4 linked regions of the Callithrix jacchus genome follow. Each later gene encodes a partner of the first gene's protein in a complex. Links are inferred from orthologs where the notes say so. Each region holds a gene or a part of one and is shown on either strand. Other genes may lie near its edges. The genes, in order: TMEM126B, ECSIT, ACAD9 and TMEM186.

The links.
Region 2: TMEM126B (region 1) and ECSIT share a complex: the UniProt entries of both Homo sapiens proteins name them as parts of the mitochondrial complex. The link is inferred for Callithrix jacchus from reciprocal best matches to the Homo sapiens genes TMEM126B and ECSIT.
Region 3: TMEM126B (region 1) and ACAD9 share a complex: the UniProt entries of both Homo sapiens proteins name them as parts of the mitochondrial complex. The link is inferred for Callithrix jacchus from reciprocal best matches to the Homo sapiens genes TMEM126B and ACAD9.
Region 4: TMEM126B (region 1) and TMEM186 share a complex: the UniProt entries of both Homo sapiens proteins name them as parts of the mitochondrial complex. The link is inferred for Callithrix jacchus from reciprocal best matches to the Homo sapiens genes TMEM126B and TMEM186.

Annotation. Positions count from the first base shown.
Region 1 is NC_133511.1:54,662,669-54,670,574, reverse strand, and holds the start of TMEM126B (complex I assembly factor TMEM126B, mitochondrial), read left to right. Parts: upstream 1-3,086; 5' UTR 3,087-3,099; coding exon 3,100-3,177; exon of another isoform or gene 3,178-5,940; coding exon 5,941-6,062; exon of another isoform or gene 6,063-7,624; coding exon 7,625-7,818; exon of another isoform or gene 7,819-7,906. Other genes in the region: DLG2 (disks large homolog 2), read right to left, coding at 1,099-1,117. UniProt on the Homo sapiens protein: As part of the MCIA complex, involved in the assembly of the mitochondrial complex I. Participates in constructing the membrane arm of complex I.
Region 2 is NC_133523.1:10,666,088-10,673,898, forward strand, and holds the start of ECSIT (evolutionarily conserved signaling intermediate in Toll pathway, mitochondrial), read right to left. Parts: upstream 4,538-7,811; 5' UTR 4,453-4,537; intron 1-4,452.
Region 3 is NC_133516.1:73,259,245-73,266,350, reverse strand, and holds part of ACAD9 (complex I assembly factor ACAD9, mitochondrial), read left to right. Parts: intron 1-1,227; coding exon 1,228-1,301; intron 1,302-2,480; coding exon 2,481-2,556; intron 2,557-3,898; coding exon 3,899-3,969; intron 3,970-4,220; coding exon 4,221-4,340; intron 4,341-6,013; coding exon 6,014-6,142; intron 6,143-7,106. UniProt on the Homo sapiens protein: As part of the MCIA complex, primarily participates in the assembly of the mitochondrial complex I and therefore plays a role in oxidative phosphorylation.
Region 4 is NC_133513.1:11,044,076-11,051,773, reverse strand, and holds TMEM186 (transmembrane protein 186), read left to right. Parts: upstream 1-3,413; 5' UTR 3,414-3,438; coding exon 3,439-3,441; intron 3,442-4,470; coding exon 4,471-5,112; 3' UTR 5,113-7,401; downstream 7,402-7,698. Other genes in the region: PMM2 (phosphomannomutase 2), read right to left, coding at 3,109-3,174. UniProt on the Homo sapiens protein: As part of the MCIA complex, required for efficient assembly of the mitochondrial complex I.

The sequences.
Region 1 (7,906 bases):
CGTCTCTACAAACTTGGATAAGGCATCTCAGTGATTATAATTTTTCTCAACATCCCTAACAAATCCACAGGTAGAAGAATTAAACAATATGCAGACATAAGTTTTACTTTACCCAACAATTCACCCAGAGCTTTAGTTTCATATTGAACCAACTCATGTAACTGGACAACATTTGGATCTGTATTAGCCCAGTGCAGCAGAGTTCAAAGATGTTCATATAAATGTTGATTCAAAACTCTTGAGAAACTCTTTACATTTGATCTCATCTTTCATATCGGATCAAAACAAAACAAAATTAAAATACCACCAAACTGCTAAATTGGTTTGGCAAACAAGTCCCAAACTAGAATCCTTTCGAACTAAGTTAACCTGGAGTACATCTAAGCTAAATTGAATTCCCAAGGTCGGATTATAATCAACTATGCTTTAGGAATTCACTAGATCTTGATCAATTCAAATAATAAAAGTTGTTGAGGAGGAAGGAAAAAAAATTGGTGTTCACCCCATTTGGGGAACTTGCCAGTCATGTTATTGGATAATGCATGTATCTGGAAAAGCGCAATAGTCATGGAAGTTGTGTTTTATCATAAAAGTAAAGATTTACACTAAAATAAATCCAAATAAGAAGTCTATTGTTTAACCAAAAGATAAATGATAAAGCTATAATTTTGTTCAGTGCAAACTAAATTACTTTGCTATCTTTCTCAACTCTGTAATTAGCTTGATAAACATTAAACCCATAAGGAAGAGCTCCACTGTACAAGTTTCTTTTTTAAAGACTGCTTAAAAGTAACCTTTAACAAGCTAAGAAAACCAGCTAAAGAAGATTCCAAATCTGCGGTAATAAATCTATTCTTATTACAAATGGTAATATAAACAACCTGATTTATGAATTTAAATGTCTATCAATAAATACTATACTCCTACTTCCTTTTACTTTAGCAAAATATTACTGAATGATGTACCAATGAAACTGTATTACAATAAACATTAGCCCCAACTGAAGAAAAACTTTACTCTCAAATGGAATATAATTTAAATTACAAGTACCAGAACCAAGAAAAGGGAGAAATATTATATAGGAACCTCATAGCCCACCTTTCTTCTTGACTGGCATTCTTGGGTCTTTTCACTGCCACAGGATTCAAGATCTCTTTTCAAGTCTCAGTTTGATCCAACTGGATTGAGGCCAAGAGCCAGGTAACTGTTGCAAAACACTTCACTGATCAGTTTTGAAATCCAGGCTGAGTCTTCTATGTCAGACAAAGAAAATAATGATGTATTTTTCCCACAACTAAACTTCATACACTGCCCAGAGTTTGCAGAAAAGTAATTTTTGAGTTTTTCAAGTTTTTCAATTTTTAGACTGTTTTTAAAAACTGGGAAAATTATTGTAAACATAAAAAACGTTACTGAAATTCCTCTTCACTCAGCAACATTTTTGGAAGTTCAATAACTAACTCAATTAAGGCACAAACCAAATTTACACAGCTGTCTCATTACTTTATACATGGTCAAATTCAAAGATGATGATAAGCATCCCCAAATCTGTAGAGAAAAATTTAACCCCCACCTCCCAAAAAATACTTTTAAAAACCTCTTTGACTCCAGTCTCTAAAAAGGTAGGTGAGTTTGAACAGCTTTCTGGGGCAGAACACACACTGAAAGGCCCCCTTCTATTTACTGATCAGAAGTTTCAGATCTCACCCTCTCAGTAACTCAGGATCCAGCCTGCTGTCACTTTCATTTTTTTCTTCTGTGCTCTCCAAGCCCCCAGGCTTGATCCTTTAATGCCCCTCTGATTCTGATCCTCCCATGTATTAACCAAGAGGATTGAAAAAAAGGAAAGCAATCCCTTGGCATGGAGACATTAAAGTGACAGTGCTACTCAATGGGCACTTGATGCAGGATGAGTTGGCGAAGGAGACTTCTTCACACTGGAGTCATTCACATTATGCCATCTCTTCGCATACAAGCAGCTCCCTATCCGGCAAGGAAAAACACTGAAACTTCAAGAGAAGCCAAACCTTCTCCCAGAGGTGTTTTCAGAGACGCCGTAGTAGTATTAGACATGTAAGCATAAGCTATGCAAACGGTCCGCGATTTCCTAAATGAGAAAGTGCAGCTGCTTGGTTTTCACATCCACCTTTTCTCTCAATCTCTCTTCAAACTACCCACCTTCCTTTTGCAGAAAAGACAGGACATTTCTCTGACACCGCTGGCCACCCCTGCCCAAGCCCCGTTCTTTTAGGGAAGAGCACTGAAATGTCCTGCACCCTTCACGCGATGAAGTGTTTCCTCAGGCAGGAGCAACAGCAGCACTAGAAATTATATAACTCTCGAATTTGGCTTTTCTAAGATATGGAGACTGGAGGGTCGGGGGTTGCCGGTCTGGGAGATACTGCTGGGCATTTAAGCGCACAAAATAGCGTCAGGCCTTGCAGTGCCCCCTACCCCAAGACACGGCTGACAAACGGGTCTTCTCGGGGGGTAGGGAGCAAATTTCTCTACGGTCTCTTTCCAAGCGGGGCTTAAGCATGGAAATGAGGGGACTACAGACTGGGGAGAGGAGTCAGACGGCTGAGAGGGGAGGAGGCTAGTCGGGGCTGCTTTGACGGCATTCGGCTGCTGGTTGGGGGTTTTGAGGAGGAGGTGCCCGAGAAGCAGAGCTTTAACACACAGGCCAGGTCAAAGGGGCGAGTTCCCTCAAGGACTGAAAGGGGCAGGCAGCTAGTTCCCAGCTAACAGAGCTGCCCTGAGGAGAGGCAGGAGCGCAGCAACATTCCAAAATTCGGGCCGCCCCATCTTACCCGCAGGACGCGGGGAGAGGCGGTAGCTAGACTGACAAATAGCAAGAGGAGGAAATACTCGGCTGGCGAGCGGGGCGGGCCCGCAGGCATCTGGACCTCTTCTAAGCAAATGAGTGGCCGTAATTTCCAGATTCCGCGCCCAATCACAGTCAGGATGGAGGGCGCGGCTTTTGACTGAGTGGGGGCCGGCCCGGGCTGCAAGCGAGACGCGTGAGCCGTAAATCAGCACCACTTCCCTCCCAGGGCGTTCTGGGTCCCCGCCCCCTTGCAAGTCACGTGAGTCATCAAAATGGCGGCGCTCGGGTATGAGGCTGGGGCTAAGTTGGATTCAGGTGTGGAGCCGGTGGGAGCTGAGGAAGCGCCCAAGGTAGGCGGAAACCCGAAGTGGTATAGTGGGGGTGATTTCTGCAGCTTCAAAGTGTTGGCAGACTCTTCTAAGATGATACATGTAAAGGAGATTTGAAACGTTAAAGAACACAGCTCCCAAGTCCATGCAAGGAGCAGTCGATTTAAGTCTCCAGTTGCTGTGGAAAGAGGCGGAGAGAACGTAGAAGACCTAAAGTCAAGTCCTCATTATCTGCAGTTTGTTTTCTCTTGTCTCCAGGTCTTTGCAAAGGCCTTTTCTTCAACTTGGAATATTTTCCTGCTTCTATCCATCCCAACTCCTGTGGCAAATTGTTCTCTTTCGGGCATTGGTTTAAATGCCACTTCCTCGGGGAAGCCTTCCCATGCTTCCTCTGGCTAGATCGTTTGCCTTTTCTTGGTTTGTTGGGTTTTTTGTTTATGTCGCTCTCTCATTCTGCGTTTAAATTGTTCTAAACCCTCACTACATTGTGGATTCCCAAGGATGGGATTACCGGGAGGCCTGGCATATACCAGGTACTCCCTAAATGATGAGCGAACATTCAATGAAATTCTAAAGTTTAGGTGAAATAATAAACCTGAAAGCACTACAAAACCGTCAAATGCTTTGCAAACTATAAACCTACATATATGCAGTCTTACTGGTATAAATGTGGTGATTAGTTGAGTGGCCTTAAAAGGGGAGGGGTGTAATGAAAGCAGTTGATCTTCGACAGTGCCTTGGAAAGCTTAAGCACTTAATAAATATTTCCTGTGTTGTTTTCAGCATTTAGTATTTGCTGTCCTGTAATCATAATCCTGGGTGTTTTCCCTATAGAGATTTTAGGGTGTAGACTAGGTAGGAGATTAGTAGAGGATGTTGCCTGAAAGTTTGTTTTGTTTTTCGTTTTTGGTGGGAGGTGGGGGACTTCAATGAATTGGATGAGAGCAAAACAAAAATTTATCTAAGGTTTATGGTTACTCATGTTATTGGCATCTGCCCTTTTAGTACAATAGATGGGTTAGGTATACAACCTCCCTTAGATGTTACTATCTCTTATACTTTACATTTGGGTGTCAGGGAGAGGCAAAAGATTAAGTCTAGTCCCTGAAAATTTGTAATCTGTAAAATATTTTACCTTTTTTCCCCCTGCCCTCTCCAGAAATGTTACAGAAAAAGATCGAGTACAGTTGTGCAATGATGCAGAGAAAGAAACTGGTCCATTATTACTCCCTGTGTAACACCATGAGAAAGTTCAAAGGAGCCCATACCTTCTGTATGTTGATGCCAGGAGCAGGAGCTGTGGATAATTAGCTGGCCCTTCTATAGTTAGGACTGGAACATACTGCTCATTCAGCAAATGAGTATTACAGTGATATTCAACGTATGTCCATTGACTACAGCATCAGAAACCCTTGGTGCTATTAAAATGGAGAGTCTAGGCCTCATTCTACTGTTACGGAATCCAGTTATCTCAGGAGGGAGTTCATGAGACTGCATTTCAAATAAATACGCCACATGATTCTTGTGCATGCTGAAGGTTGAGAACCACTGATTTATTAAGTATCTTCTGTGTTCATTATGCTTCATCCACTCTAATTCTCTTGCCTAGGACTCCTTAAATTTGAGATTTAGTATTTGCCTTTAATATAAACATTAAAATTGGGATTAGTGTAAATTTGTGAAGAGGCTGTTTGGCTAATCCAGATGAAAAAGAGTAAGAAGCAGTGAACTTAGCATCAATAGACCTTCCACTTGCTGCTGTAGTAGGTAAACATTTGCAGCCACATGTTTGGATTTAACAAATGTTATTAAGACTTCACAGAGACCGTAGAGTCTTGCCCAGAGCAAAACTTCAGAAAGGATCCTGTCTGAGAGTGCAGGGTTTGCTTTTTTGTTGTTTTGTTTTTTAACCTCTCTAGTTTCTGTTAAGATGCTACTGGCCAAATCTTCATGGTCCCTTGACATTGGCAGCTGTCTATTTATCACACTTAGGACACAAGAACCTTACAACCGAGGAGCCCAGTGCCATGGGCCTCTGCTCTGGCACATGCCCATTTCTCACAAAGGCTCTGCTTCCACCACAGATGCTAATAGGGAACGGGATATATAATTTATGTACTCCAAAGTAGTAGCCACCATCCACTGCCTGTTCCCTTTCTGGAGCAGTGCCCCTCTTTCTGATTTTCTCTCTCGCTGTTCTCCAAGGCAATCCCTGCTCTCTGCTACCTCTCCAGGAAATACAGCACTATTTCCAAAATAAGCGCAGTCTTTCATGAGAAACTGGGGATAAAGATGTCAATAAGCAGCCACTGTTTCCACTTCCCCACCTGAAGAACTAGGACAACTACAAAGGGCCTGACTACCTTCTTGGAATCAGGAGAGGAGAAAACTAAGGAAAACAGAAACAGTATCAGTATGTCATTCTTCTACACTAAATCTTAAGGCAAGCGAACCTTTCAGAACCTCAGTTTTCTCATCTGTATAGAGATAATCATCATACTACCAATTTCTTGGGTTAGTGTGTGAATCAGAAAGCCAGTATCTGTGCATTGTAGGGTGTTTAGCAAGAAAAAATATATATAACAAAAAGCCAGTGTCTAACAGATAATAAGAACTCACTAAATATTGATTGAATTATTAACATAAAGTATGTGAAAGCAGCTGACATAGTACCTGGCACACTACTAAACTATAAATGTTTTTAAATCTGAATCTATAAATTCTGTAAGGAATTATTAATATTAACATCATTAGCTATTATGGCTCTGGAATTTTCTTTTCCAGGATGTCAAGATGACAGCATATATGCATGGTCAGCCGAGTCCTTTTCTAGAAGACGCAAAACTCAGAAGACCAATGATCATAGAAATCATAGAAAAAAAATATGAATGTCTTAAAAAAGAAATGTAAGAGAAATACCCAGGCTGAAAGTCAGTCATTTTATTTGCAAGTTTTTTATATTGCCGTTGTTTCTGAGATCCAATTCTTTGTTATTTATTCTGTTATCTAAGATTCTGTTCTTTGTGTTGGTTATGAAGAACACATCTTTTAAAAAAAGAATGGGGAAAACAAGAAGAGATGAAAATAGTGGTTTGTTGGAATATTTGGGTTTGTGGATAATTTCTTTTGTTTCTTAAAAGTATCCAAAAGTATTGCTAAAACATTTATGTACTAAATATATTTTAATTAAAAGTAATTAGGAGAAAATCCTTTGGGGGGGCTTATATTTAATTGGTGAATAATTATAATCAGTTTAGGATTGATTATCTCAGTCACAGTACTTAGTACAGCAAAAGGGAATACAGATTCCGTGGTATAAATACAGTGTCACATTACCATTTTGACTTTCTTTTTTTTTTGAAATGGAGTCTCATTCTGTCACCCAGGCTGGAGTACAGTGGTGCGATCTGGGCTCACCACAATCTCCATCTCCTGGGTTCAGGTGATTTTCTTGCCTCAGCCTCCTAAGTAGCTGGGATTACAGGCATGTACTACTACTACCACACAGCTAACTTTTGTATTTTTAGTAGAGATTGTTTCACCATGTTGGCCAAACTGGCCATTTGGACTTTTAAATGAACAGAGTTCAATAATAAAATCAAAGGACAATTGATCTTAGTTTCTGGATTTAGGTATGGGTTTTGTTTTTTTTTTTTCTTTTTGAGATGGAGTCTTGCTCTGTCACCCAGACTGGAGTGCACCGCAGTCTCTGCTCACTGCAGCCTCTGCCTCCTGGGTTCAAGCGATTCTGCCTCAGCCTTCTGAGTAGCTGGGAATACAGGTGCATGCCACCACGCCTGACTAATGTTTTGTGTTTTTAGTAGAGATGGGGTTTCTCGGTGTTAGCCAGGTTGGTCTTGATCTCCTGACCTCATGATCCACTCTCCTCTGCCTCCCAAAGTGCTAGGATTACAGGCGTGAACCACCGCGCTCGGCCATAGCTATGGGTCTTAATAAGAAAACTAGATCAGATTTTTTTAGATGAAGTTTTGTAAAATCTTGGACAAATTATTTTAAATGTATCTGGACTAATGAAGAAATGGAAGGCCTAACCAAATGTAAACAGCTTTCTTTTTTTAGATGAACTTAAAGTAAATCTTTTTAGTCACAGAAAAGGTACTCTTGGATTTGGGTAGCTCATAAAATTTGACTACATTGGAACATATTTATATTTATTTGTGGCCAAAATTATTTAAAAGAGCTCTATTTTAGAACTACTCTAAATATTCTCAGAAAGAGAATCATGTCCTCTTATTAGAATATAAGTTCTCTAAGGGGTGGGGATTTTCTTTCTTTTTCTTTTGCTTTGTTTACTCTCCTATCTTAAGCACTTAGAAATACTTTTCACATAGTGAGTGCTCAAGATATATTTGATACTGAGTAAATACGCAATAACAACTTTTCAGGAAAGGCTATATCCATTAAGGTCAATGTTATTGTGAACTGAATATTTCTTTTTTTCTATTAGGATGCCATATATATATCATATGACATTGATTGGAACAGCAGCTGGTTGCACTGGAATATTCACAAACTTCACATTCAGACACACCTTCAAGGTCAAATATGATGCTTTGAAGACATATGCATCATTGGCTACAGTTCCATTTTTGTCTACTGTGGTTGCCCACAAGCTTCTTGTAATCGATGCTTTGTATTCAGGTGAATTTAAATTCACTATTGTATAATGTAGTTATGTCTAAGTAAAGTTACTGATTAACATTATACTGTTGCTACTTCTAATAATAAT
Region 2 (7,811 bases), on another chromosome or scaffold:
ATTGAGGCCATCCTGTTTATTTATTTACTGAGACAGAGTCTCGGCTCTGTCACCCAGGCTGAAGTGCAGTGGTGCAATCTCAGCTCACTGCAGCCTCCACCTCCCAGGTTCAAGCAATTCTCCTGCCTCAACCGCCTGAGTAGCTGAGATTACAGGCACAAGCCATGTCTGGCTAGTTTTTGTATTTTCAGTAGAGACTGGGATTCACTATGCTGGTCAGACTGGGCTGGAACTCCTGACCTCAGGTGATCCACCCTCCTTGACCTCCCAAAGTGCTGGGATTACAGGCATGAGCCACTGTGCCCAGCCCCATCTTTTTTTTTTTTTTTTTTTTTGAGACAAGGCCTCACTCTGTCACCCAGGCTTGAGTGCAGTGACGCAATCTCGGCTTACTGCAACCTCGGCCTCCTGGGTTCAAGCGATTTTCATGCCTTAGCCTCCCGAGTAGCTCGGAGTACAGGCACGCATCATCACACCTGGTTAATTTTTTTATATTTTCAGTAGAGACAAGGTTCTACCATGTTGGCCAGGCTGTGCATCTCCCATCTTGACTCAAAGTCTCCCTCCAGCTTTTGCTTCACATCTTTGAACCACTGACTGATTTATTTATTTGAGACAGGGTCTCAATCACTCTGTCATCCAGGCTGGAGCACGGTGTTATGATCATGGCTCACTGCAGCCTCAAACTCGTGCTCACATCCACTGTCTCAGCCTCCCAAGTAGCTGAGACTACCTGTATACGCGACCGTGCCCAGCTAAGTTGTTCAATTTTTTGTAGAAACTGGGTTTCACCATGTTGCCTACGCTGGTCTTGAACTCTTGGCCTCAAACGATATTCCCACCTCAGCCTCTCAAAGTGCTGGGATTACAGGAATGAGCCACCACATTGGACCTTGGTGCCCTTTATAGTAAAGCTTCTTCCAAGAGGTGTCTATACACTATGGCTCCTTCCCGATTCTCCAACTTGGCTGCTGCCCCAACCACTTTGTAAAGACCCCTTGAGCACAACTGCAGTCCTAGCTAACTGGGAGACTGAGGCAGAAGGATGTTTTGTTTTGAGACATGGTCTCATTCAGTCACCCAGGCTGGAGTGCAGTGGCATGATCTTGGCTCACTGCAACCTCCATCTCCTGGGTTCAAGCGAGTCTCTTGCCTCAGCCTCCCAAGTAACTGGGACTACAGGTGTGCGCCACCATACCCAGCTCACTTTTTATATGCTCTAGTGATTCTTAAACTTTGTTCATGTTAGAATCATCTAGGGAGCTTTAAAAAATGCCCATGCTGGCTGGGTATGGTGGCTCACACCTATAATCCCAGCACTTTGGGAGGCCAAGACGGGTGGAACACCTGAGGTCAGGAGTTCGAAACCAGCCTGGCCAACGTTGTAAAACCCCATCTCTACTAAAAATACAAAAATTAGCTGGGTATGGTGGCAGGCGCCTGTAATCCCGGCTACTCAGGAGGGTGAGTCAGGAGCCTCCCAAAGTGCTGGGATTACAGGCATAAGCCACTGCTCCCGGCCCGAATCTGTATTTTAACAAAAGTCCCTGCTATCTCCTATGAGCATTAAAGTTTGAGAAGTGGTGATCTGTGTGCAGATGGCTCCCCAATGTTAATCTCAATCACTGGGGCCCAGCCTCTACACCTAACTGCCACTTTGGCATATACCCACCCATCTCAAACATAATTTGCTCCAAACTGATATCCTTGCTTCAACTTGATCTTCTCCCTCCTAGCCAATTGCACCACCACTGCTAGCCATTCACTACTACTAGCCATTCAAGCCATAAGCCTATGAGTCGTTTCTGAGTCCACTATGTCCCTCACTCTCCCATTCAACCCATCAGCTAGTCTGGGTGACCACTTCCAAATCCATCCCAAATGCACCTCTTTCTATCTGAACCCACTGCCTCAATATATGACTTGGAGACCTACCAAGCCTCCCACTTCTGCCCTTCCTGCCTCCAGTCAGTTCTCCCCACTATGGCCAGAGGAAGCTTTTTTTTTTTGGAGAAAGAGTCTCGCTCTGTTGCCCAGGCTGGAGTGAAGCGGCATGATCTCAGCTCATTGCAACCTCTACCTCTCTCGTTCAAGTGATTCTCATACCTCAGCCTCCTCACTAGCTGGGACTATAGGTGTGTACCACCACAGCCAGCTAATTTTTTGTATTTTAGTAGAAATGGGGTTTCACCATGTTGCCCAGGGTAGTCTCAAACTCCTGAGCTCTAACAGTCCACCCATCTTGGCCTCCCAAAGTGCTAGAATTACAGGCATGAGCCACGGCACCCAGCCAGAGGGAGCTCTTAAACTAAAATTAGTGATTTCACATTTAAAATCAGGAACTGGGCACATTGGCTCATGCCTGTAATCCCAGCACTTTGGGAGTCCAAGGCAGGTGAATCACGGGGTCAGGAGTTCAAGACCAGCCTGTCCAACATGATGAAACCCCGTCTCTACTAAAAATACAAAAATTAGCCAGGCATGATAATGGCACACGCCTGTAATCCCAGCTACTCAGAAGGCTGAGGCACAAGAATCCCTTGAACCCGGGAAGCAGAAGTTGCAGTGAGCCGATACTGTATCAATGCACTCCAGCAAAGGCAACAGAGAGAGACTTTGTCTAAAAAAAAAAAAAAAAAAAAAAAACTATCCAGGCATGGTGGCGAATGCCTGTCATCCCAGGTACTGAAGAGACTGAGACTGGAGGATCCTTTAAGGTCAGTAGTTCGAGGTTGCAGTGAACCATGATTGCACTTGTGATTAGCCATTGCACTCTAGCCTGGGCAACATACTGAAATCCTATCTCTAAAAATAAATAGGGGCCAGGCACAGTGGCTCACACCTGTAATCCCAGCACTTTGGGAGGTCGAGACGGGTGGATCACAAGGTCAGGAGTTCAAGAGCAGCCTGGCCAACATGGTGAAACCCCATCTCTACTAAAAATACGAAAAATTAGCCAGGTGTGATGGCAGGCACCTGTAATCCCAGCTACTCAGGAAGCTGAGGCAGGAGAATCACTTGAACCCAGGAGGTGGAGGTTACAGTGTGCCAAGATCGCACCAGTGCACTCCAGCCCCGGGCAACAGAGTAAGACTCCATCTCAAAAATAAATAGGCCAGGAACAGTGGCTAATGCCCATAATCCTAGTGCTTTGGAAGGCCAAGTGGAGAGGATCACTTGGGCCCAGGAGTCCAAGACCAGCCTGGGCAACATAGCAGAACATGATCTTTACAAAAATTGTTTTAAAAACTTAGCCGGACCTGGTAGTGTGCACCTGTAGTCCCAGCTATATAGTCTCCTGAGGCAGGAGAATCACTTGAGCTGTGGAGTTCAAGGCTGCAGTGAAGTATGATTGCATCACTGTACTCCAGGCTTGGCGAGGAAATGATATCCTGTCTCTAAAAAATAAAAATAAATAAATAAGACAGGGTGTACCCCTCCAAACTCAACTCCTACCACTGGCAGCTTCAGCTACCCTGTCTCTGAAAGAAACTAAGTTTATCCCATCTCAGAACCTTTGCACTTGCTTTTCTCTCTGTCTAGAGCTTTTTTCCTCCACATCTGTCCACAGCTGTCTGCAGTCATTTCAGTGAAAGATCTTCTTTGACCCTCATTAATGCATTCTTTTTTTTTTTTTTTTTTTTTCCTGAGACAGAGTCCCGCTCTGTCGCCCAGGATGGAGTGCAGTGGCACAATCACGGCTCACTACAGCCTCGACCTCCTAGGCTCAAGCAGTCCTCCCACCTAAGCTTCCCGAGTAGCTAGAACTACAGGCAAGCACCACTATGCCCGGGTAATTTTTTGATTTTTTGTAGAGAACAGAGTCTTGCTACGTTGCCAAGGCTGGTCTGGAACTCCTGGGCTCAAGCGATCTTCCTGACTCGATTAATGTATTTTTAGCAACGATCAGTATCTAAAATCACCTGTTTCTTTTATTTCTAATTTGTTCAAAGTCTGGTTCCCCTAAGAGATGAGAGATTTTTATCTATCTTCCTCATTGCTGTCTGTCCAGCACCCAGGACAGTGCCTGGTATATGGTAGGTGCCTAACAAATATCAATCGAACGGAAACAGCTCAAGTTCAACAAAACACCTGTAAATCTGAACCCCGAGGTAGGGTGTAGGTACAGCAGCTCTGAAGCCGGCTGCCAGGATTCTGGATCTCCTGGGGGAAATAGGGAGACATGGATTCCAATTCCTGCCAGGCTGCCGACTTGACGCGTGATCTGAGGCGAGAACTTTAATCTGAGTCAGCTGTTTCATCTGCAAAACGGGAGACTGGGGGCGTGTGGCGGGTGGCCTTTCCCAGCGCGTCCCCACCCCCACTACGAAAGGTCACGGTGCCCTGGCTCTGCAGCTGGGTCCCTCCGGGACTGCTCTCTCGCGCTGCCGGGTCCTGAGGGGCCCGCCTGGAGCCCAGCAATTCGGGTTCGCCTACCTGCTCGGGACCTACCTACTCAGGCGGTCAGCCGCTGACTCCAGGCCGGATCTGTCTTCTTGCTGGGCGCCGCCATGTTGGCCCAGAGAGCGTCCGGGTCAGGGGCCGCAAGGGAGGCAGCAAATCAAGAAAGGCGGTATAATAGATCCCGCCCACAACGCTAGAAGCGCCAATAGGAAGGCGAAGGACCTTGGGCCAGGCCCCACCTCTAAGGAGGTAAGACGCACTCCAGGCCTGGGAACCTTGAAATGGCCCGGGAGGCTGGACTTGGGATGTCTATGAATCCAGCCGCGCGGCTGAAATGAGAAAATGAACTATTAAAGGTTAAAGGGGGCGGCAAGGTGGCTCATACCTGTAATCCCAACACTTCGGGAGGCCAGGAGTTCGAGACCAGCCTAGGCAATATAGCTAGACCCCTTATCTGCAAAAAATTTAAAAATTAACTGGGCATGATGGTGCCTGCTTGTAGTCCCAGCTATTCGGGAGGCTGAAGCGGGAGGATCGCTTGAGCCCTGGAGGTTGAGGATACAGCAAGCCAGGATTGCACCCCTGCTCTCCAGCGTGAGCAGCAGAGTGAGACCCTGTTTCTAAAAATAGTAATAATAAATAGGGCCAAGCACGTTGGTTCACGCCTATAATCCCAGCACTTTGGGCGGCCAAGGCAGGCGAGTCACATGAGGTCAGGAGTTCAAGACCAACCTGACTAACGTGGTGAAACCCCATCTCTACTAAAAATACAAAGTTAGCAGCGTATGGTGGTGGGTGCCTGTAATCTCAGCTATTTGGGAGGCTGAAGCAGGAGAATCGCTTGAACCTAGGAGATGGGGGTTGCAGTGAGCCAAGATCACACCACTGCACTCCAACCTCAGAGACAAAGTGAAATTCCATCTCAAAAAATAAATAAATAAATAAATAACAATAATTAGCAGGGTGTGGTGGTGTGCTCCTGTGATCCCAGCTACTCTGGACGCTGAGGCACAAGAATTGCTTGAACCCAGGAAGTGGAGGTGCAGTGAGCCGAGATTGTGCCACTGCACTCCAGCCTGGGCAACAGGGTGAGACTCTGTCTCAATAAATAAATACATAAATAAATAGGATGGCCTCAATGAGATGGCCTTTGAGTAAAGGCCTGGAGGAAGTGAGTGAGTCATCTGGATATCTGGGAAACGGTTTTGGCACTAGGAACAGCAAAGACTCTGTGTGGTTAGAGTGGAGTCACTGAGGAAGAAATGTGATAAAACGAGATGAGATTGAGTAGTGGGAGCTCCTTGTCTCGCCCAGAAAGAGACAGCTTTCAGCTGTTAATAACTAAGGTGGATAAGCACATACATAAGGGTATTGGCAATAGCAGTGGCCCCAGGGAAGGAAGGTTATCTGCCCTCATAATCCCATTTCTGCAGTCCCTCAGCCTCTGTGGCAAAGCGAGGTGGCAAGGGGGCTAGGATGCAAGAACCTACCCTTAAGATGCCTCAAGGACTCTGCGCAGTCGCAGCACATCCGCCTCATCAGAACTCCTGTGATTGGGCGATCTCAGAAGACATGTAGCCAATCAGCTGCTTGGCTGGAGCACTTCTCCCTGGCAAATTGACAGGCACGTGGGGAGCGACTGGGCGCCCTACTGCCCTCTGCCAGACTCCTGAAGCTACAAACAGGCAGGCAGCTCTGCTTAGCTGGGGAGTGGGTAAGATGATGGAGTTGCTGACCTCTGTGGCCTTCAGAATTCCTGGTGTCCTTCTCTTGAGGTGGTCATAGCTCTTGTTCCTTTTTTTTAATTTATTTTTTAGAACTAGTCTTTTTATTATTATTATTTTTGGAGATGGAGTCTGACTCTGTCACCCAGGTTAGAGTGCAGTCGTGCAATCTCGGCTCACTGCAACTTCCGCCTCCTGCGTTCAAGCAGTTCTGCTTTAGCCTCCGGGGTAGCTGGGATTACAGGCACGCACCACCACACCTGGCTAATTTTTGTATTTTTAGTAGAGACGGAGTTTCATCGTGTTGCCCAAGCTGGTCTCAAACTCTTGGGCTCGAGTGATCCTCCTGCTTTAGCCTCCCAAAGGGCTGGGATTACAGGCATTCGCCACCATGCCCAATCATTATTATTATTTTTTTTTTCTGAGACAGAGTCTTGCTTTGTTGCCCAGGCTGGAGTGCAGTGGCATAATCTCAGCTCACTGCAACCTCTGTCTCCCGGGTTCAAGAGATTCTGCTGCCTCAGCCTCCAAGTAGCTGAGATTACAGGCACACACCACCATAACCAGCTAATTTTTATGTTCTTAGTAGAGATGGGGTTTCACCATGTTGGCCAGGCTGGTCTCAAACTCTTAACCTCATGAGCCATCTGACTTGACCTCCCAAAGTGTTGAGATTATAGGCATGAGCCACCGTGCCCAGCTATTATTATTATTTTAAAATAGAAATGGGGTCTCACTATGTTACCAAGGTTTGTCTCAAACTCTTGGGGTCCACTGATCCCCTGTCTTGGCCTTCTAAAGTGCTGGGATTACAAGCATGAGCTACCACACCAGGCCGGTAGTCTTTTTAAAAACGAGTATGGCCGGGTGCGGTGGCTCACGCCTGTAATCCCAGCACTTTGGGAGGCCAATGCAGGTGGATCACGAGGTCAAGGGGTCAAGACCATCCTGGCCAACATGATGAAACCCCATCTCTACTAAAAAAAATACAAAAATTAGCTGGGCATGGTGGTGTGCACCTGTAGTCCCAGCTACTTGGGAGGCTGAGGCAGGAGAATTGCTCGAATCCGGGAGGCAGAGGTTGCAGTGAACCGAGATCGTGCCACTGTACTCCAGCCTGGGCAACAAGGTCTCTACTAAAAATACAAAAATTAGCCAGGTGTGGTGGTGTGTGCCTGTAATCCCAGCTACTCGGGAGGCTAAAGCAGAACTGCTTGACACCACTACACTCCAGCCTAGTGCCTGGCGACAGAGCAAGACTCTGTCTCAAAAAAAAAATAAAGGGAAAAAAACAGGTCTGGGGCCGGCCACCGTGGCTCATGCCTGTAATCCCAGCACTTTGGGAGGCCAAGGCGGGCAGATCACAAGGACAGGAGATTGAGACCATCCTGGCCAACATGGTGAAACCCCGTCTCTACTAAAATACAAAAAAATTATCTGGGCGTGGTGTCAGGCGCCTATAATCCCAGCCACTTGGGAGACTGAGACAGGGGAATTGAACCTGGGCAGCAGAGGTTTCAGTGAGCCGAGACTGCCACTGCATTGCAACTGGATGACAGAGCAAGACTCCGTCTCAAAATAAAACAAAAAACAAGTATTTGTTTATGTACATACAGTACATATTTTATGTACTGATATATTAACACAGAGCACCCTACTCTATGTGAGGCCCTGGTACAGAGT
Region 3 (7,106 bases), on another chromosome or scaffold:
GTCATCTCCTACTGTGGCAGCCCTTGTGGACAGACCACCTTAGAGCTCAGCTTACAGCCCCCAGCCTTGAGTTGTCTCAGTCTGCAGGTGCCTGGCAGCCTGCTTCAGGCTGTGGGTTGGATTTAGGTCCATCTGGAGGCTTATTCTTAAGCAGACCCAAGGGGCCAAGCCAAACCATATAAGTACTTTTTTGTCGGAGGAGACAGATTCTCCCTCTGTCACCCAGGCTGGAGTGCAGTGATGTGATCTCATCTCACTGCAACCTCTGCCTCCTGGGTTCCAGCAATTCTCCTGCCTCACCTTCCCAAGTAGTTGGGACTATAGGTGTGTACCACCACACCTGACCAATTTTTGTGTTTTTTGTAGAGACAGGGTTTCACCATGTTGCCCAGGCTTGTATCAAATTTCTGAGCTCAGGTGCAATCTATCCACCTCAGCCTCCCAGAGTGCTAGGATTACAGGTGTGAGTCACTGTGCCTGGCCACCTTTTTTTTTTTTTTTTTTTTTTTTTTAAATAGAGGTTTTGCTATGTTGTCAGGCTGGTCTTGAACACCTGGGTTCAAGTGATCCTCCCACCTCTGCCTCCCAAAATGCTGGCTTTAGAGGCATGAGCCACCACACCCGACCCTAAAAGCACATTTAAGCCCTCTGTTTGTGTTGACTCAGCTCTATTCCAGTGGCCACAGCAAGTCACATGGTCATACCTAGCCGACAGGGAACGGGAGGGAGGTCTACCCCTCCCCACAGTGGGAGAGTGCTACAGTTAGATTGCAGGGGTGTGGTTGTGTTAGAGTTAAGAATTGACACCAGTGGTCTCAGTCTACCCTGAGACCCTAGGAAATGCTGTTCTCTCCCTCGCTTTGCTTGTTCTGGCTCTTTATATGCCTGGCTCTTTTCATTTTTTAAACTTCTGCTAAATGCCACCTTACAAAAGTCTGACATAGCCCTTAGTAAAAATATTATCCATCCCCTTGCCAACCTCCATTTCTCCTTACCGTGTTTCCCTGTTTATTTCATCCATTGCACTGATGACAATATTACATTGTTTTGTTTATAGTTTATCTCCCTAACCAAAGTATGAACTCCACAAAGGCAGGAACTTTGTCTTTCTATACTCTCCTACCAAATGTTGGACGGACGGGCGGATGGATGAATTGCCTGCTTTTGCAGGTCAAATGCAGAGTGGTTTGCATTGTCAGATGAGATCTTAAATTTCATGTGTTTCAGCCTGCGAAGTCCATTTTGAAGACACCAAGGTACCTGTGGAAAACGTCCTTGGAGAGGTCGGAGGTGGGTTTAAGGTGAGTTGCCAGCCAGTACTGTGTAGTGTCTCAAGCGCGACTTGTCGGCCCCCAGCTTTTGCCCCATCCTTGCTTGTAGCAGAGCAGCCTGTGCTTGACAGGTGACTTTGCATGGTTATCTGTTGGGAAGTCAGAAATGGAGACTGGAAAATTGGCTGGCTCCTAGGAGGAGTATGTGGTAAAGTTGGGAATCTTTCTTCACCTCGAGCAGAGTCTAGGATCCCCTTCCACAGCGGGTGTGAGAAAGAAACCCGTGGGCTCTGGTGAAGCTCAAGCTGTGTATCTCCCTCCCTGCCCTACTCTTCTTTTTAGACTAAAATGAAATATTTTTATCAAGAGATGATTCATATAACAAAGGACTCACCATTTTAAAACGTGTATTTCAGTGGTTTTTAGTATATTCACTATGTTGTTCAAATACTTCCTGTGCCTAATTGCAGAACATTCCCTTATCCTATAAAGAAACGTTGTACTGTCCAGTAAGACCCTTACCCATCCCTTGGCTGCTACTCTTTTACTTTATGTCCTTATGGATTTGCATGTTCGGAACATTTCATAGAAATACAGTCATATGCAAGATCCAGTCTTTGGTGACAGGCTTCTCTCACATAGTGTGATGTTTTCAAGGTTCATCTCTCTTGTAGCATGAATAAGTAATTCATTCCTTTTATGGCTAAATTATCTTTTGTTGAGTGGAGATAGCACATTTTGTTCATCCATTCACCAGCTGATGGGCATTGGGTTGTTAGCACTTTTGGCTGCTATCAATAATGAACATTCATGTCAAGTTTTTGTGTGGAAATATGTTTTCAGTTATTTTGCTTTATACCTAAATGTAGAATTTCTAGTGGGCCCAAGTTAGTCTGGAACTCCTGGGTTCAAGTGATCCTCCTGCCTTGGCCTCCCAAAATGCTGGTACTACAGGTGGGAGCCACCATGCCCAGCTCTGGCATGTTCCTTTGGAATAACGTTCAGTGGTCTTTCTTGTGTGCGGGGACATTGGTAGAGCTGCAACTGTGAGTGAACTACTTAGTTCCGAGATGTTAGGACAGTGCTTTCTCCCAGCCCGAGGGAAGGCAAGCTGATCCGTTTGCCTGGTCTGGTAAAGGTAGACGTGTGGTTATGGCCTCCTCCCCCTGCCTCCTTCAGGGCCCCTGGGCTCTCCCTTTCTCCCTGCAGGTGGCCATGGACATCCTCAACAGTGGCCGGTTCAGTATGGGCAGCGCTGTGGCTGGGATGCTCAAGAGATTGATTGGTAGGTAAGTCAGGGACAAGACCCTTTGTGTTCCACTTCCTGCTGCCCCGGCTCCATCCCTGGAGGCTCTGCCATTCCCCCGGCCACTTCCAGGCTGGTGCTGAACTAGGCCACCTCCACTGAGGGTCTAGCCTGAGCTCCGTCCATGGGCTTTTGTGGAGACCAGAGGGTCTCCTCAGCCTGCCCCTGAATTGGTTATCTTCGAATTCCTCTGTTTCACTTCCACACGGGATGGGGATGGGGGAAGGGGCTTTCTGTCTGGCGCGAGAGGAATAGGGGCAGAGCTGCTTGGTAAGCACGTACCATGAGCCAGGCTCCCAGGACACATGGCCTCTGGTGCCCAAGGTTCACGCTGCCTCAGTGACTGCATGGTGTGTGGGGAGTGGTTTGGAACCCAGGTCCCTGGGCCTCTGGATCTTTTTTTGTTCTGTTCTGTCAGGATACCTGAAACCTCCATTTTCCTTTGCCAGTGAGCTTAGAACAACCCTGTAACCATCCTGTCTGTTGTGGAAGCATCTGTGAGGAAATGGGAATGCCTGGGATGGCACATCCCTAAGTGCTTTATGAAGCTCCTCTTTGGATGCCAGGCTCTGGGCCGGCCTCTTTTGGGCCAAGATGGGCATACTTGTTTTGGTTTACCTCCATTTTAGAGATGAGAAGACAGAGGCTCAGAGAGGGCAACTGGACCCAAAACTAAAGCTCTCAGGCTCCAGGCTCAGGGCTTTTCTCACTTGCAAGTCCTCTGGGGAACTCAGCCCTGTTCACCTCCTGAGTGCGCCACACCTGGGAGAGCCTGTGGAGAACATAGCTACGGGCGGCAGGTGGTGGTGGTGAGGTGCTTCTGCCTGGGAGAGGCGCCATCTAATTCATGGGCCCTCAGAGCTCAGCACTTGGTCACAACCACATGCCTGGAAGTCCCAGCCTGAGTATTCAAGCCGGGCAGCCCCACCTGCTTTGGTCAGGAGCACTGTGCGCTGGGTTTGGGCCTGCACCGCCTCTCTCTGGGGCTTCTGTGCCTGGCTTTGTGTGAGGAGCCTTCTGCCTTCCACCTGGTTGCATCTTCAGGGAGGTGACATGCTTGGCCCAGGCCACTGGCTGTAAGAACCATTGCCAGGATTCAAGTCTGTATCTGATGCTAAACTGTAGATTCCATTAGGAGGGGTGGTTCTCCTCTGACCCATGGGTGCTGACAAGTGGAGTTACTAGCTTCTGGGGCATTTGATCTCAGCAGACATGCTTCTCATAGTGCCTGCCTGTGGGAAGGGTAAGGATGATGGCCATAGGAAATTATGTTTCAATAACAAAAGTTCCAGTTCTTTCTAATGACTCTGCTCTTCCTCAGAAATGACTGCTGAGTATGCCTGCACAAGGAAACAGTTTAACAAGAGACTCAGCGAATTTGGATTGATTCAGGTATAGACAGTTGAGTGCTGTCTTTGTGGATTTCACTGTGTGACATGACTGTGTTCTTTTGATGTCTGTACTGGTGACTCTTCTGTGGTGATTTGGGAAGAAGACTAGTTAAGGCTTTATTTAACAAGGGTCGCTGGGCTTGCTTTTCTTGGGCATTCAGGATTCTGACTTAATTACCTTCTCTCCTGTTCTGAAGATTTGGCTCTCAGCACATGCAAATTGCTTCTTGTGTTTTTTTCTGAATACTCCAGGAGAAGTTTGCACTGATGGCTCAGAAGGCTTATGCCATGGAGAGTATGACCTACCTCACAGCAGGGATGCTAGACCAACCGGGCTTTCCCGACTGCTCCATTGAGGCGGCCATGGTGAAGGTAACAGTGGCATAGCCAGAGAGCTGGCGCTGGAGGGAGGCTTGGGAAAGCTCCCTCACTGTGACCTTTCAAGCCTATGCTGTTGCCTATCATCTTCCTCCTGTCATTGATCCAGTATTTATGATGCACTAGCCCTGTGCAGCACTCCAGGGATAGACAGGCAGTGGGCGGGGAGCTGCAGCAGCAGGGAAGTGACTGGTGAGCAGCAGTTTGTAGGAAGGCTCCATGCTCCCACAGTGCAGTTTCTACCAAGCTTTTGCCAGTGGATCAGCAGTTTATAGCAGAAGGAGACCATTCTGTTAACGTCCTTTTAGAATAATAACATTGCAGCTGGCTTTTGTGAGAAGAACTTTTTTCCTTAATTTATGGCCTTCCTACTTTTTGGTTTCAAAACGTCCTCTTAAAAACTAAATATATGGCAAGGCATGGTGGCTCACGCCTATAATCCCAGCACTTTTGGAGGCTGAAGTGGGTGGATCACAGAGGTCTAGAGTTCGAGACCAGCCTGGCCAACATGATGAAACCCCATCTCTACTAAAAATAGAAAAAAATAGCCGGGCAAGGTGGCGGGCACCTGTAGTCCCAGCCACTTGGAAGGCTGAGGCAGGAGAATCGCTTGAACCCAGGGAGCAGAGGTTGCAGTGAGCCGAGGTCGTGCCACTGCACTCCAGCCTGGGCAACAAGAGTGAACTCCATCTCAAAAAAAAAAAAAAAAACAACTAAGTATACGAGCCTGGGCAACATGGCAAAACTCCATCTCTACAAAAAAATACAAAAATCAGCTGTCGTGGTGGTACACACCTGTACTTGGGAGGCTGAGGTGGGAAGATTATCTTATTTGGTTGAGGTAGATACTAGAGTTTTCTGTTGCTTTTGTTTTGTTCACGGTGGAGGGTATCATTTTTCGCTGTGTAAAAAAGATGGCTACCCTTTGGGGGACCCTACTTTGGTGCCCCCAACAATTGTTTTTAAGCTGGAATTGAGCTCCTGAGAGAAATGGTGAGAGGTATAGCAGTTTAGAGAAGTGAACATTCTGGTATCAGCAGGTGAGTCTACCTATAAGGTTGGGATCCTGAAGTGGGAAGGTCCCTAAAAAAAATAAAAAAATTTTTAAAAAAAGGTTGGGCATCTTGGGTGGCATTTGAGTCTTTTCTCATTGCAGCCTGCATACTGGGTGCATTTGCATGTGTTGTATCACCTCGTCGTCTTGTCACCCATGAACAGTGACCACAGACATTAGCTTGCTGTGGGCCAGCCTCTTCCATATGCTAAGCCTAGAGCTTAATATGGCAGTATGTCTGCCCCCAAGGTGCTCATAGTGTGCGGAGACAGAAGGAAGTCATGCCACCAGGGCTGGGCAGGAACAGGTCAGGCTTTCTGGGGAAGGGAAGATGTTAAATGGGTTTTAAAGAAAGAGGAGCTCAGCCAGGTACAGAGGGGTGAAGGTGGGCCCAGAAGATCATGGTGGGGTGGGGATCACAAGCTGGCCAGTGTGGTCAAGGAAGGCAAAGGACTTGCCCACATCACCCCTCGAGTTCCTCCCTGGCTGATGTCCTCCCCAAGTCTGGGTGCCTCCCATGCCTCCCCAGCCACCCAGATCCCTGTAGCATAGGTCCTCCTTTTGGAAGGGAATCAGTGTGACATCCCGTGCTGACCTTGCCCTGGGCCCACAGGTATTCAGCTCTGAGGCTGCCTGGCAGTGTGTGAATGAGGCGCTGCAGATCTTTGGGGGCTTGGGCTACATGAGGGACTCTGTGTACGAGCGCATGCTGCGCGACACCCGCATCCTCCTCATCTTCGAGGTGAGTGGCCCTGCTACCAGCTAGGCTGTTCTCCACCCCCACCTTGCCTGGTCCTAAAGAAGCTGCTCAGGGCCTTGCAGAGGTCTCCGAAGTGGTCCCCACAGCCCAGGGCTGGATTGCATGCTCTGATTGGCTCTCAAGGGCTCTGCTAGCCCTGGCATGTCTCATTCCCAGTTGCTGCCCTCCATGAAGTCACAAGACTGAAGAGTTGGTTCAGTTAGCACGTGCCAGGTGGTAGAGGAGGGAATTAGGCCACAGAGACTTTGGGTGCTGTGTTCTGATTGTGCTGACCAAAGGAGATGACAGAGTGCAAGTACAAAGAGGCAGGGAGTGGGCATCCTCCAGAGGCAGCCAGAGTTTTCTGCAGCGCGTGTTCCTGGCCCTTAGGGGCAGAAAGAAGGGGCTTTGACAAGGGCTGGGGGGCGGGCAGGGCAATGTGTTCTGAAGGGTAGGGAAATAGAGTGCGCCAGGCCCAGATGAGACTGATCTGCTGGCACAAGGTGAATGAAGAGAGAGAGAGGGACTTTCTGGGAGCAGCAGTCAGTCCTGCTAGGTGTGCTATGCCAGACAGTGGGTTTTGGGGGTAGCAGAAGGTGCATGGGAAGGCTAGAAAAGCAGCCAGACTGTGGAAGACCTTGACTGACAGCAGAGAAATTTGGAAGCCATAAAACATCTTTAAGCAGGGCATTATTTGGTTGTATCTGTGTTGTGGGAAATCCCTCCAGGGCCTCATGTGGAGAGTGAGTTGCAGGGATGAGGCCAGAGGCCAGGGGCTCTCCTGCTGGGAGGGAGGGGCTAGAGAACACAGCAGGGTGGGTGGGAAATGACGGTGCAGTACGTACACAGGAGGCAGGCCTGAGACAGGGAAAGGGTTTGGGCCGGAGCAGCAGGTCTGGTAATGAGGGGCGTGGTCAGCCGCTGGGAATGTGGTCTTGTCCTCCTTGGCTGCTTTTGTTCCCAGCCT
Region 4 (7,698 bases), on another chromosome or scaffold:
TTGGCCAGGCTAGTCTCAAACTCCTGACCTCGGCCTCCCAAAATGCTGGGATTACAGGCATGAGCTATGGTGCCCAGCTGAGTATCTCTTTTAAAAAGTTTCTAGAAATTTAGAAAATACAAAAAGCCATTTAATTCAACCTCAGTTTAAGAACACTTGGAGTCCAATGATTAAAAAAAATTTTTTTAAGAGTAATACATGAATTTGATAAATAAAATTGTACAGACAGGTTTGTAATAGAGTGCAATCTTTTCTACCTCTCACAGTGGAATCTGGACCTATTGGACAAAATCTAGGAGTAGTCTTTAAGACTCAGAATGTAGTGGCTCATGTCTGTAATCCCAGCACTTTGGGAGGCAGAGGTGGGCAGATCAACCGGGTTAGGAAATAGAGACCAGCCTGGCCAACATGGTGAAACCCTGTCTCTACTAAAAATACAAAAATTAGATGGCCATGGTGGCCCTCACCTGTAGTCCCAGCTACTTGGGAGGCTGAGGCTGGAGAATCACTTGAACCTGGGAGGCAGAGGTTGCAGTGAACCAAGATCGTGCCACTGCAATCTAGCCTGGGCAACAGAGCTAGACTCCCTCTCAAAAAAAAAAAAAAAAAAAAAGTTAGAACTGTGAAAATCAGAAGCACGTTCCTGAATGGCATACCCACTGACTAGCACAGCTTCCACCTTAGCACGGACAGGAATTGGCAAAGTTGACAAGAACCAATGTCCTGAGGCCCAGGGACTTGTATAAGGTCGGCTATGTAAAACTGAGGAGGTTGGTCTTCACTGGGTCTGTTTCCTTATGTTTACAATAGTAATAACTATTCTACCTGGGAAGAAAGATGGAGGAAGGCTGAGAGGGTCCAGTGATACCAAGAAAAAGAGTCGGCAATGTAAATCCTAGACCACAACGGCCCACAGACCAAATTGGGAAGCTGTTGGTTTTTGTAACAAATAAAATTTTATTGCTCCTGCCTCAGCCTCCCAAGTAGCTGGGATTACAGGCACCTGCCACCACGCCCAGCTCCTGCCCCAACCTCCCAAGTAGCTGGGATTACAGGCACCTGCTGCCACGCCCAGCTCCTGCCCCAGCCTCCCAAGAAGCTGGGATTACTGGCACCTGCCATCATGCCTGGCTAATTTCTGTATTTTTAGTAGAAACAGAGTTTTGCCATGTTGGCCAGCCTAGTTTTTATAGGGTTTATGGCTGGTTGTGCACTGAAGCTGAGTGGTTACTATAGGCCATATGGTCTGCAAAGACAAAAGGATCCGCTATATAAAAATGAATCAGGGACTGCAGTTTTAAACCACTATGGGCTTTTTTGAGAGGGTGTCTCCCTCAGTTTCCCAACCTGGCATGATCTTGGCTCACTGCAATCTCCACCTCCTAGGTTCAAGCAATTCTCTTGCCTCAGCCTCCCTAGTAGCTGGGACTACAGGCGCATGCGGCCACACCTAACTTTTTGTAATTTTTTTTTCTTTTTTTTTTTAGTAGAGACGGGTTTCACCATGTTGCCTAGGCTGGTCGTGAACTCCTAAGCTCAGGCAATCTACCCACCTCAGCCACCAAAAGTGCTGAGACTACAGGCGTGAGCCACCCTGTCCGGCCTGCACTATGGGCTTTTAACAACACACAAGTGTGTGACTGCTGAATCTCAGTCAGTAAAAGCCGTTGAGGAACTTGGGAGTTGAGTGTCAGCACTAGGTGGATCAAACCTGTGACTGAGAAGTGCAACTGATGTCTAAGGTCATGGGCATTTGACGTGGACTTCTGGAGCACACCACCATTACCACCAGCGAAAAACTACGAGGGATGAGGGTAGAAAGTGAGGACAGTGAGGCCACTAGGGTCCAGTCTCAAGTTCAAATGGCCGGTGTGCAGTGACCAATTTCTGAAAAGGGGACAGAAGAGCCTCATCTCAAGGGTGATTGTAACTGAAACTTATCTGTGCCTGCAGCAGCAATATCTGGAAGTGGAAAGCACGTTTCCAAGGCCCTAAAGTGGGTCTCAGCAGGCAGCCTTTAATAACCTAGGGGTCCTCCATTTCCCGAGTCCACTGCAGGGGCTGGAGATGGGTGCGGTGGAGGTGGCTGTTTATTGAAGCCTAGTGTGTTATGTGCAATATAATTTCAAGAATTTATGTAATCTCATCTGAACCTCACAGACACCATATGGCACAGGGGGTAATATCCCCATTTAAAGCTGAAGATGAGGTCAGGCGTGGTGGCTCATGCCTGTAATCCCAGCACTTTGGGAGGCTGACGCGAGTGATCACCTGAGGTCAGGAATTTGAGACCAGTCTGGTCCACATGGTGAAACCCTGTCTCTACTAAAAATATAAAAATTAGCATGGCGTGGTGGCAGGTGCCTGTAATCCCAGCTACTTGGGAAGCTGAGGCAGGACCCGGGCGTGGCGGCAGGTGCCTGTAATCCCAGCTACTTGGGAGGCTGAGGTAGGACCCGGGCGTGGCGGTAGGTGCGTGTAATTCCAGCTACTTCGGAGGCTGAGGCAGGAGAATTGCTTGAACCTGTGAGGCGGAGGTTACAGCAGTGAGCCGAGGTCGCCCCATTGCACTCTAGCCTGGGAGACAAAAGCGAAAACTCCTATAAAAAAAAAAAAAAAAGCTGTAGATGCTGAAGCTCAGAGACATTAATGACTTGCTCAAGGTCACACAGCTGTCAAGAGGTGAAGACGAGACTCCACTAGGTCGGTTTGACCTGGAAACCTTTTAAAAATATTATTCACGGCACAGCTCATTGGTTACAGGACTGAGAATGTCTGTAACATAGCTGAAAAGGGGGCTTGATCTCGGGTACAAATCCTGGTCCAACAGTCCCGAGGACCAGCCGTGAATCCAGATTGCATTTTCCGACCCAGCACAAGTTTCTTGCTCTTAGGAGTTCTTCAGCCCCGTCTCATCTCTCCAAGCACCAAGAGCTCTTGAAGAGCTGGTCAGAGCTTCACTCTCATTCCTCCAGGACACCCCGAGTAGGGTTCAGCCCCCATGAACACTTCTGCGGTCCTCAGCTACCCCTTGGCGCCCACCCTGGGTGGTCGATAACTTCAACTGGGAACAGCACGGGCTCCGTCTCGGCTGCTACCGCCACTTACCTGCCGCGGAGCGGTGAGGGTCCCATCCACGTCGAAGAGGCAGAGCGCTGGGCCGGGACCTGCCATATCCCCAGTTTCTAGCTGCTCCTGACGAGACTCGTTGGCACCAGGAGCTCAGCCCGGAACTTCCGGGTTCGGCCCCCGAGCTGCAGGGCACGTCGGGAAGAGGAGACTCTGTTCCCACAATGCCTGGGACTAGCGCCAGCCACGATTCCTGGACCGCAACTCCCAGAGTGCAACGCGGTCACGCCCGCCTTGTACGTTCGAGCATGCCCTCTTAGAGGTTCCGGGGACCGGTGGCATTTACTTCCGGCAGCAGGCGGTGGGACAATGGTAAGGAGGCGGGTGACGAGCCTTGTTTTGGGGATCGGGGTCAGAGCTGGGGCAGGCAGACAAGACGCCCTACTGTCGGACTCGGAGAATCCCTAGTAGGAGGCTTCAGCGTGGGTTACAGTTCGCCATTCCCCCGGCTTTCTCTGACCTCCTTGGGTCACGTGCGCAGCAGTAGTACTCGCTAAAACTGGCCAGGCTCTCACAGTGCATCAGGTACTAAGTTGAGGGCTCTAAACCATCTTCTGGTTCACTGTGTTCTGAGTCCCCATTTTGAAAGGTGAAGAAACGGAAGCTCAGGGGTGTGAAGGAAGTAATTTGCTCAAGAATCCACAGGCAGTGACTGTTGGAGCCAGAACCGGAACCAGAACTTTTACTGCCTCGTTACTCACCTAATAATATCCTTGTGCTATGTGTTGGGGCCTTCCTGCTTCTCTCCTCCTCCTCTGCTATTTCTGCTTCCCCAGACTAGGCTAAGAAAGCAGCAGTTTCCTCTAGCACCCAAGATGACATATAAATCAAACAGAATTGGAAAGTTATTGGGATAAATATTTCACAGATTTGTTGCTCAAGTTCCCCACTAAGACACTGATTATTTAGTATCCTGCTTGGGGAAATGTTCACAACCCCTTTTGGATCCATTGTCCAGCCCAGAGTTGGTCCTGCCTAGATAGGTTGTGAGTTAATGAAGGCTGTACCTCTTTTCCTATATTTATTTGGAATTGCCTGGTGAAAAGAGGCCCGGTTTGAGAGTCGGACTCTGCTGCACTCACTGACTATGTTTGGGTAAACATCTTACCCTCTCTGGGCTTAGTTTCCCTAGTGGTAAAGTGGAAATAGGGATACCTATCTTAGGTAGCTGTTGTGTTGCTCACATGAGGTAGCATCTGGCTTTACCCTTTCCTTCTCTGGCAATAATGGTGACCTTGCAGGATTGGCAAAAGCCTTGGAGTGAGATGCTTTGCAGATGTTTACCGTGTGATTAATGTGGTTGAGTTCCATAAGAGAAATGGTCTACTATCTCCCTTTCAGGCTGCCCTTCTCCGAGCTGTGCCTAGGTTTCCAGGAAAAACTGCATGGGGACGGCCTCTCCATGGGCTGTGGTGGTGCTGCAGTGGGCAGGAGGATCCTAAGAGGTGGCTGGGGAGCACGTCACCCACCTCAAAGGAGAAACCACCAGACACAGAGACTGAGAAATTCCGGATGTTTTACCGTTTTGATGCCATCAGATCCTTCGGGTACCTGTCTCGACTGAAGTTGGCACAGACTGCCCTGACAGTGATAGCTTTGCCACCAGGCTATTACTGGTACTCCCAGGGCCTCCTGACTCTCAAGTCCCTTTGCATCATGAATGGGGTGTCATGCTTTGCTCTGGCCATGCTCTGCTGGATGAGCTATTTCCTTCGGAGACTGGTTGGCATCCTGTATCTGAACGAGTCTGGCACCATACTGCGGGTGGCCCACCTGAACTTCTGGGGCTGGCGGCAGGACACATACTGTCCCGTGGAAGATGTGATACCCCTGACAGAAACCAAGGACTGCCCTGAGGAGCTGTTCATGCGTATCCAGCAGTACAGTGGGAAACAGACCTTCTACCTTACCCTACGCCACGGACGCATCCTGGACAAAGAGTGTTTCACACAGGTGTTTGGGGCGCTGCAGATATTCAAGTAAACAACTGGGAGCTGGACCTCTGGGTAATTCTGGGTTGCCTGGATTGACAGGAAGGCCGAGGGTGTGCGCAAGATTGAAGAAAGGGGATTGAGTACTTGGAGACTTTCCTGGGCCCCTGGGAACATGTGTTTTGTGATGTAGAAATTTACAAGGTGAGATTTGGTGTCCAGGTTTAGGAAAAAGGCTCTAAATGCAAGTTCTTTTTTTTTCTTTTCATTTTTTGAGATGGAGTTCGTTCTTTTCCCCAAGCTGGAGTGGTGTGAACTCAGCTTATTCAGTCTCCGCCTTCCAGGTTCAAGCGCTTCTCCCACCTCAGCCTCCCGAGTAGCTGGGACTACAGGTGCTCGCCACCACACCTGGCTAACTTTTTTGGTATTTTTAGTAGAGACGGGGTTTCATTATGTTGGCCAGGCTGGTCTCAAATTCCTGACCTCTTGATCCATCTGCCTCGGCCTCCCAAAGTGCAGGGATTACAGGTGTAAGCCACCGCACCCGGCTAAGTGCAAGTTCTGATAGCACTTGTGTGTGACATTCAGTCAGATAATGGCTGGAGGTTTCTGTTAGGAGCCAGTTATTAAAGGAACCTATGCCAAGGTCACCCAGACAGTCCATTGCTGTGAAATGGGAAGGCAAAGAGGTGTGGCAGGGGAGTGTAGAATTTGGAGCCAGAAGTCTCAGTTCTGTTACTTGTCCTGGCAAAGAGGTTATTGAGCCTCTTTGAACCTCCATCTATAAAATGGAAAGTCTTCTTGTTGCATGGGATGGGTGTGGGAATAAACAATAAATGTCAAAATTTTTGCGGACTCAACAGCCCAGAGCAGATATTAAGCATTTGTATAGAGGTTTCAGCATGGAGAAAGACTTTGAGCAGTCACTAGCGACATCCAGAACTCTGTGCTGTGCCCCCTCACATGTCCAGCGGCAGAAGGGACTACCAGAAGGGACTGTTAACTACACATCAATGAGCAGAGATGTCATCCAGGTGAGCACAAAACCCCACCCAGAGGTCTAGAGACTCTTGCTTTGGATGGCCCTGCAGTGTAATAAAGCCAGATGGACGTATGCTGGTACACTGTTTTATAAACTAAAGCCAGTTATATACACTGCTCTGCATAATTAATAATATGTTCATTATACAATCCGTAACACAGTCAAGAGGAAGGAAGGCGCGACCTTTATGATTTCGCCACTCAAAAGTCAGTAACAATATTTTATTGTATAGCCTTTCATTTTTCTTAACCATAGCAAGATACACCTAACAAATATATCTTTTTTGTTATTTTGAGAAGGAGTTTCGTTATTGTTGCCCAGGCTGGAGTGCAATGGCAAGATCTTGGCTTACCACAACCTCTGCCTCCAGGGTTCAAACAATTCTCCTGCCTCAGCCTCCCAAGTAGCTGGGGTTACAGGCATGAGCCACCACGCCTGGCTAATTTTGTATTTTGAGTAGAGACAGGGTTTCTCCATGTTGGTCAGGTTGGTCTCAAACCTCCGACCTCAGGTGATCCGCCTGCCTTGACCTCTCAAAGTGCTGGGGTTACAGGCATCAGCCACTGCACCCGGCCTTTCACTGTGATGCTTCTATCCTGTGCTTGCATCTTGCCTCACTCGCCAGTCTGTTTTGACAGCAGTCAAAGCGATCCTTAAAAATACAATCACCTCACTGTGCTATGAAGGTTGATGGCCTAATCCACCCTCCCCTTTCCTCCCTCATCCGCAACTCTGTGGAGATCATTTCCCCAGGTCACGCTGGCCTTGCTGTTCTCCAGTAATCAAGGATGATCCAGCCTCAAAGTCTTTGCATTGACAGTTCGTCTGCCTGGAAAGCTTTCTCCCTGGATACCTGCAAAGAGAACTAACTGCCTTCCATTCAGTGTCTTCCCTGTATAACAGGTTGTACTATTTATGCTCAAGAAGTATGGTGAAGATTCAATTATATAGAAGAGACGCGTACACAGCAGTTACACATGGCTGTTCGTTCCTTCTATACTTCACCTTCACCTGCCTGTCAGTTCCTTCAGTGACTGTGAATCTTTTTCCCATGAAGATATATAGCCTGTGGCTAAAAAATGTCTTAAGAATTCCTAATGATTTCACCTTAACCTCATTGAAACCAGAAATTCTCTCTTTGTTGGGCTAGTTGTGAGAAATGACGTGAGTGAGTCCCACCCTGGGATATTCTGATTATGTCTGGGGTAGGTCCCCAGGATTTATCTTTTTGACCCACTTGAAGCCAATTCTGAGATTTAGGCAGGCTGGGAATTTCTGAAATAAACAACTAGAACAGAAGACACCAGAGTGTTATGTGCTTCTGTGAACTTTGTGTTCCTGGGCCAATTTTCTGCCTAAAGAATAGGTTCTTAACACTGGCTTATTTGTAGAATCTCCTGGAGAGTGTTTTTAAAACCCCATTGTCGAAGCTCATGACCAGGCATTTCCATTTTCACGGTTCCCTGGGTGATTCTAATATGCAGCCAGGATTGACCATCGCTGCCCCTGAAGTCTCACCACACTCTTAAGTCACCACGCTGTTAAGTCTACAAGGGCTTGTCTTGGGAGGTGAGATGCCAGATTCTCACTCCTGCA